2 linked regions of the Oreochromis niloticus genome follow. The protein of the gene in region 2 interacts with the protein of the main gene of each other region in a pairwise test. Links are inferred from orthologs where the notes say so. Each region holds a gene or a part of one and is shown on either strand. Other genes may lie near its edges. The genes, in order: fabp3 and shtn1.

Region 1 (3,921 bases), on a different chromosome or scaffold from region 2:
AGTTACATGCACATACATACAGAAGTTAAATTTGAATTTGAATTATTCTTTTTTTTTTTGGAGGGGGGGGGTTACTGACCAGCAAGAGAACGTTGCCGTTGACTTCCCTGACCAGACTGGTCTCCTTGCCGTCCCACCGCTGAATGTGCACCAGCTTCCCGTCCTCTATCGTGACAATAGACTGGCGGGGGCAGAAACGAGAGTCAGACACACATCCAGCGAGTGAGTGAGGATCATTTAAATCAGTGGTTCGGCTTTCTGTTATTTCATCCGTGCACTTCACCTTTGCACAGACATCTTTATAGGCAGCTACTGCACTTTTCCCATCTCATGGCAAGCTTGTAAAAAAATACCTAAAGTTACATATTAAAGAACGCAACGCACAGGAACTGTGCAATCATAGAGGACGTCAATGACTTGTTGGGTAATTCATGTGCTCGTGCAACAGCCCACAGCAATATCAGTCTGAATGTGAGCAATAGCCACAGCTTCTTGCCATCAGCAAACACTCTGCGGTATATATGTAGTTTAAGTGAATGCTCCTTGCTCCTGTCCCCTGAAATGTTCCCTTTAAACACTACCGCGCACTCAACTTTATCTCTTTCCTAAAGCTTTATGTCATCCTATCACGACTGTTTCCTCAGCGATCCATCAGCCTGTGCACTGTAATTATGACACCATATTTATTTATGCAGCGATGTTCCAGCAGACTGCTGCTTACCTCATACGAAGCCTGCTTAAAACCTCTTTCATAAAAGTCTAAATAAAAGGTTTTGCATTGCACAAGTTGGACCTTTGACCTCTCACCTTAACCTTCCTGTCGTCGGCGGTGGTCTCGTCGAACTCCTCTCCCAGCTTGAAGCTGAGCTCTGTGTTTTTAATGGTACTCTGGGTCTTCAGCGTCACCGTGTCGCCGTCCACTGAGATGATGGTGGTGGGCTTGGTGAGGTTGGCCACTTTCCGTGTAGCGAAGCCCACGCCTGTGTAACAACACAAATTTCAAACAACCAGGTAAGTCAGGTGAGGTGTGCTGAGGGAGGATTATTCATGTGGAAAATAAACAAGTCGAAAGGTGAGGCAGAGACTCAACCTGTTTCTTTGCCGCTGGCATTGATCCTGTCACATAGGGGCAAAGTTTGTGTCAGTGTATCAAGCAGATGTTGAGATATTCTAACCCGACTTAAAGGAAACATCCTGGGAGCGTTTACAGATACCGAAAGGAATATGTTGTTGCACATCCAGAGCAAAAGCCGTTGGTTTGCCCCCCGGCTGCCCTTCATCTGACATGCCCTCTAATCTCTCTTTTATCAGCCACTTAAGCGTGCTGCACGTTCTTCAAACACTGCAGAGTCCCTCCGACCTGGGAGAGTGCCTGTCTGGGCCTGTGTGTGTGTGCAAATTATTACCTGCTTTCCTGGTGTGCGTTTGTGTGTGTATGAGGGATTGAGTGAATTTGTTTCTTTGGGTAAACGTGATTCACACCATTTGTTTCTCAAACAGAAATAATCTGTTTCTGTTTGAAGTTAACATCCCAATTCATTTACAGCAGTGACATTCCCATAGCACGTGTGTGTGTGTAGATGCCTCATCGATTAAAAGGACTGGGGTTAGAGGTTAAAGGGCGTCTGCTTGTCACCGTGACCAGAGGAAATAGGTCGATGGTGATATGACTCTATACAGCTGTAAAACAAACTCCATCCACCTGCCTCCATCCCACGCTCCACAGCCATGTGTGTGCGAGGTGTTCCGGAGCCAAACTATAACTCCATGTTCCCGTCCCATCAGCTCCTCGTTCCAGCTTGATATTCAGCTCCTCCCATGACCTCACACAATGAACAGCTTTCAGCGAAGGTCACCCACATTATACTACACTGTGTGTGTCTGTGTGTATGAATGCCATTCAGAGATTCCCACAGTGGGGCTGATTTTTCTTTTCTTCACTCAAAAAAGAAAAAGGGGGGGGGCCCTCCCTCCTTTCCAGCACTTGGGCCATGCGGTCAGCCATGCTTCCTCTTTTTCTCCCTCCCTCTGATTCCCATCTTCTCCTGCTTTCTTTCTGTTCCCAACCAATGCCTCGCTCCACCCTTTACTCTACAGCCTACCCCTTTATTTCTCCATTTGAAGCCTCCCTTATTTGCTCCCATCATTGCCCATTTTTTTTTCCCACACCCTGTATCAACAGCTACTTAAAACAGTTTACATATGAAACACACCTTACACCATTTATCTCGCCTCAAACCCGTCTCCACATGCGCTCGCATGCAGCACTGGCACTACTGCTGCATCCTCTCCTGTTTCACACGCATGCGCACACACTCCCCTGCGCAATGTGCATGCATTAAAAAAAACAGAAGAAGAAAGAAATAGAAATACACGGAACACTTACCCAGCTCTTTCATGTACTCATCAAATTTATCGCTCTCCTTGAGGAGCCATGTGCCAACGAAAACATCGACCATGTCTGCAGCGGTGCGGAGGAATGAGGGCGAGAGAGAGAGACGGTGTGTGTGTGAGGGAGAGAGAGAGGCGGCAAAGCAGGGGAGCGTCAGAATGAGAGACGAGGGAAAGAGGCAGGGAGAGTAATGTAAGCGCCACCAGCTTTGCTGTGATCTTACTGGCTGAATGTACCGGCTGTTCGTGATGTCATCACTCTGTGTCACCCACAGACTGCCGGACGCGAGGGGGGTAGGGGGGGTGCAAAGAGAGAACATGTGATAGCCTTGGTTTTGTCAAAGTGATTGCCATGCAAATAAATTGTGTTTGAATTGCTTGAAAGGTTTGTTTGCATCTGCTTTCTGTGCGTATTATCAGCCTTAATAAAGCATCGGAGAAAGAGAAGGAGGATCAGAGAGGGCTTTAGTAGAGAAATCAAAGAAGAGGGAGAAAGGGCAGAGTGGAGAAATTAATGGGGAGGAGGTGGAGGAGTACGAGGCGGTGAGCCTGAGGGAAAAGAGGCCCACCATTGAGTCTTTTTTTTTCTTTTTTTTTTGCAGCTGTTGGTTGTAAATGTGTTTTCTCTGCCCTTCTTTTACTCCCCAGTTGTTCTCGTCATCTCTGGTCCCTCCACCTGGGGGGTTTCCATCCACCTGCACTGTGTGGTTTGCCGGTTATTTTAATGACCCTGATTGTGGCTCACCAAAGTGTGAAAAGTGTAACCAAATGTGTATGTGTGTTTGTGAGAGTGCTTGTAAACACAGATACAGGTTTGCGAATGCTGGCAGACGTGTGTTGCAGTTATGACTGTGAAGATAACAGTGCTGGTGTGTTACTATAGTGCTTGTTTTGTAGACACAGATACAAAACATGTTCACCTCCAACTGGTCACAGATTGCTGCCCCTTCCTGGTTCTGCCAGAGGTTTCTTCCTGTTAAAAGGTAGTTTTTCCTTCCCACTGTTGACAAAGTGCTTGCTCATAGGGTTGTTTGATTACAGTTTCAAACGACCCGCAATACAAAGCGCCTTCAGGTGATTGTTCCTGTGATTTGTCGCTATTGAATTGATCTGTATTAACCCTAGAACACTATCGCTGGGTGATTTTCAACCGAGCAAATACATTTACATGATTTCTCTCTCCTGCAGCTGTTAGCTGTCGAGCAGACTGTGCCTCCACCAGGGAAGTCTCAAATGTCCCAGGAATGGGTGGATCAAAGACCAGCTTTCCAGTGTCATTATTTATTTTTTCTTTTAGGAATTTTTCTGTTCTTGAATTCCAGATTTTTCTGTAATTTGGGAACATTATTTTAGAGTCCCCCCATGACACTTTTTTCATTTTGTTAGACATGGCACAGTTGAAAGTAAAAGCAGACCACTCTGATTTGTAATGTGTTGTCATATTTTGATATATTTTGATGACAAGTACTTTTTGTTGGTCATATTATATCGGGTAAAAATCACCCAGCATTAGTGATTGTGTTATTATTT
Region 2 (3,921 bases):
AAAGCCCAACGAAAGCAAAGCAACAGGTTTCCTGTAGAGACCCATGATGATACCACCATGTTCTAAGAAATCCCTTAAATTACAATCATCTTTATGACTGATATTAGCACAGATTTAATATCATAATTTAGTAACTGTACGGAAACAAACGTTCAGGTGCTGGAGTTTGTTTTAAGAGCGGTCAGTCCTCTTTACTCTCCGTGTTACGTGGACCTGGATGCGTTCTTGTCTCTGGACCTTCTTGCTTCTTCTCTGCATTTACATTTTTGTGGTGTTTTGATTTGTCTTGCAAAAACATGAGTGAGTGTATTTTAAAGAAATCACATCTGTCTGCAGAAACAGTTTATTGTGCAACCATGGTTCTGTGAGTTTACATTAAATTATATGACATATGAAATTATATGTTGTGTGTCCTGGATCATTGTCCCCTCCTGCCAACATCTGAGCTAATATATCTGTTACTGGCTGTAACAAAAGTATAAATATGTAACTACAAGGCTGCTGCATACTTTCTTTGTTAGAGCTGTGAACTGTAAATCAGCTCTCCTAGTTTCTGCTGAGACACCCAGTGTCCTCTCTCACTGCCTTCATCAGCTGTTAGCTAGCATCAGATGAGCCAGTGTGACAGTTAAGCTAACATCATCCTGATACAGGTCACAATGTGCTGCACACAAGAAGAGCCAGAGATAAATGAAGGCTTTCTGTTTAATGTTGGTCTGGTTTATATTTAATTCTTACAGAATGTGTTTGAATAGAAAATTAATATGCAAAGAAAAGAACCAAGCAGCTGTGTGAGGTCACTCTATGATAGTCGAAGCCACGGTTCATTTATTGTGACTGAAGTGAATAAAAAAGTGGACTAAACGGGCAGCATCGTTATTCTGTTGCATGTGTTTGTTTACTTCTGCTGTTGATATTTCTGTGTTTAATGTTGATGTCCGCGTGCCAGAATATTTATGAGCCGGGCTGAAATCGGTCACCGAGTATTATTATTATTATCATCATTATTATTATTATTATATTTGTTGTTTTTTGTTCTTTTTAATCATTTTGAGATTAAAGTGGAGATTCTGGTTGTTCGGAGACGAAGCTCCACGGTCAGTGAAGGTCGTGCTTCAGAGCCGGTTTTTATTACAAGGAAGGAAATGATTTCTGTTCTCGCACATAAACACAGTGAGGTGATAAACACAAGGATGTTCAAAAGGAGAGCTGCATCAGGTCACACGGAAACCCACACAACCGTTGTGCCAAGGTAGGGCTCTGTGGAAAGGACATTTCTATACAGACGAGCTTTTAAGTTCTGTTTTCATTGTTTTATATTATTATTCATATTTCTGGTTTTATTGAGGAGCACTTTGTGACTTTTATCTATGAAACGTGCTGTATAAATACATTTGAGTTACAATTAACTAGACGTGTGAGTATGACGTTTAGCGAAACAGTGAGAGATGAGCGCCGTTACGTTACCGACAGAAATGACACGTTTATCATTGTCACGTGGTGTCGGACGTTTTGCCTGATTATTTGTATCCTCTGTATCTTTACTGCATCTTTACTGTATAAAGAGCTAAGACCTCCAAAGCTGCAGGAGTAATAAGTCCTTGTAGGAAGTGTTTGGGAACTAAAAATCAAGAATGACAGATACAAGGTTACATCCTCGTACAATAAAGACGCCTGTTTCATGAAGCCATCTACACTAAGCTTGTTGTAAAGGGTGCAGCAGCCGTGCAGTTTGTCTTCAATCAGCTGTAATCCGCACACTTCGACTTTATTCTCAAAATAATCAATAATATTGTTCCTAATCCTAATGTGGCCCTTATGCTCACTCCTAGCGTCTCTTGTCTGTGCTATCTCAGCTGCACTCTTATCTCGTGCCGTGCGCCAGTGTCCACCTGGGCAGGTGTGTCTTGAAAGAACACTTCCTGTTGAACTTTGGACAAGGATTTTTGTCATGGCTGCGGAGGAACTCGACAGAATTAATGTTATTACAAACCTGTCGAATCAGGGTAAGTTTCTTTTCTGTTCCCTGCCCTGTAACAGTGTTTCCAGTAGTAACACTGCATTTTACTACAGTGACATCACAGCCCAGCAGTTGTAAGATCCTGAAGAGTGTCTTTAAGATTTACTGCTTGCCTAGTGTCGAGGGCTGGATTATCACATAGCTGCTTATTTGCCTTCTCTAAGGGTTTTGTTTCTATGGCCAAAGGTGTGTACAGTAAGATGCTGCTTTAACTTGACGTAACAACTCTGCCAAAGTCTAACGTGGCCTGTGGATTAAACACCTAATCTTAAAGCAAGCCTGTGGTGAAAAAAGAGGTTGGACCCCTCATGTTATACTACGTAGAGCATACTTTGGTTGTGACAGCAAGAGAAGGACACATGTTAGGCAGGATAATCCATTTAGATGACCTCCTTTTGGGTTTTGCGCACGCTTGCTCACTGTCGTGGCTCACTGGGCTACTTGATGAAACTTAAAATGGGTCCCAGTGGGAGAAACGTTTCGTCACTCATCCAAGTGACTGTTTCAGTCACTAAATGCAGGTTTACCCAACATTATAAACAGTTTGTATAATGAATGAACAATGGGCTGGGAGGTTATTGATCAGTAATCTGCACTTTGTCATGAACACTGACCAACGGCCATGAGTCCCATTCACAGAGAGTTGGGGAATGGCTGCAATCACAGCATTGTAAGATGGTGACAGATGTACCCTTAGGCCCCCTCCTCCATTCAGAGATGGTCTTTCCCTTTTCACGTAAATGGCCTCCTTGACTCCGCCCTCAAACCAGCGTTCTTCCCTGTCCAGGATATGTACATCCTCATCATTGAAAGAGTGTCCAATGGCCTGTAGGTGTAAATAGACTGCAGAGTCCTGGCCTGATGAGGTAGCTCTTCTGTGTTGTGCCATCCGCTTCGCCAGAGGTTGTTTGGTTTCCCCGATGTATAAATCCTGGCACTTAACAGCGTACACTATGTTACTCTGTTTGTGTCGGGGGACCCGATCCTTGGGGTGGACCAGTTTTTGGTGCAGCGTGTTTTGGGGTTTAAAAGCCACAGAGACTCGGCGATACTCCTGACACGTACAGGATCACTACAGGTTTTCGCCTGGGCAGCGGTTGTCCTTCTCTCCTGGATCGGCTGGAGCTTTCTTTGGGAGCTTTCTCTGCTTTGACAAAAGTCCAGCTGGGATAACCACATTTACTCAGGGCCTTCCTGATGTGCTGTTCTTCTGCTTCGCTGGCCGCTGTGTCTGTGGGGATGGTGTTCACTCTGTGTTGTGTTGTAATCTGCAGTCAGCTCTGACTCAGCTCTGATGCTATCTAATTATGTAACATATGTGGAGAATGACTCTAGACAGGCTCAGCTGGCAGTTGGACGTGCTGCTTTGTTAGCCCGGAGATCATCGAGATGTCAGAATCAGAACACTTTCCCAGAGCAAACACGATAAGAACTAACTAAACTAAATAAAAATAAATATATTACAAAGTTACAAAATAGAACTAATAGCTCTAATTATAAATATGCCAGTACAATACACAAAGTGAAATGTATAAAGTTGACATTGAGGTGCCCCTCATATTATATTGGCTTACAGTTTGTGATATTAAGGGTGTGTAATCATTACAGTGTGTACTTGTGCTTTAAATGGAGGAACTGTACAGAGAGAGATTCACAGGCAGGAGTGATTTCCTGTGTCTGTGAGTGGTGCGTTTGGGTAATCTCAGTCTTTCACTGAACGTGCTCCTGTGACGACAGCACACGATGGAGTGGGTGGAGGTATCCAGCTTTGTCCTTAACCTGGACAACATCCGCCTGGCTGACACCACCTGTTGGATGGCCTGAATCCAGTGATGGTCTTCATGCAGACCGCTCTCATGCCGCTCTCTCGAGTTCCTGCTCCAGCTTTCTCTTATACTTAG

Evidence for each region.
Region 1: the proteins of shtn1 (region 2) and fabp3 interact in binary tests that used the Homo sapiens proteins (3 or more experiments, as listed by UniProt). The two-hybrid records come from large-scale screens. The link is inferred for Oreochromis niloticus from reciprocal best matches to the Homo sapiens genes SHTN1 and FABP3.

Annotation. Positions count from the first base shown.
Region 1 is NC_031985.2:22,348,549-22,352,469, reverse strand, and holds the start of fabp3 (fatty acid-binding protein, heart), read right to left. Parts: upstream 2,573-3,921; 5' UTR 2,460-2,572; coding exon 2,387-2,459; intron 981-2,386; coding exon 808-980; intron 182-807; coding exon 80-181; intron 1-79. UniProt on the Homo sapiens protein: FABPs are thought to play a role in the intracellular transport of long-chain fatty acids and their acyl-CoA esters.
Region 2 is NC_031978.2:32,201,385-32,205,305, forward strand, and holds the start of shtn1 (shootin-1), read left to right. Parts: upstream 1-1,215; 5' UTR 1,216-1,252; intron 1,253-1,698; exon of another isoform or gene 1,699-1,748; intron 1,749-1,832; exon of another isoform or gene 1,833-1,856; 5' UTR 1,857-1,951; coding exon 1,952-2,006; intron 2,007-3,921. UniProt on the Homo sapiens protein: Involved in the generation of internal asymmetric signals required for neuronal polarization and neurite outgrowth.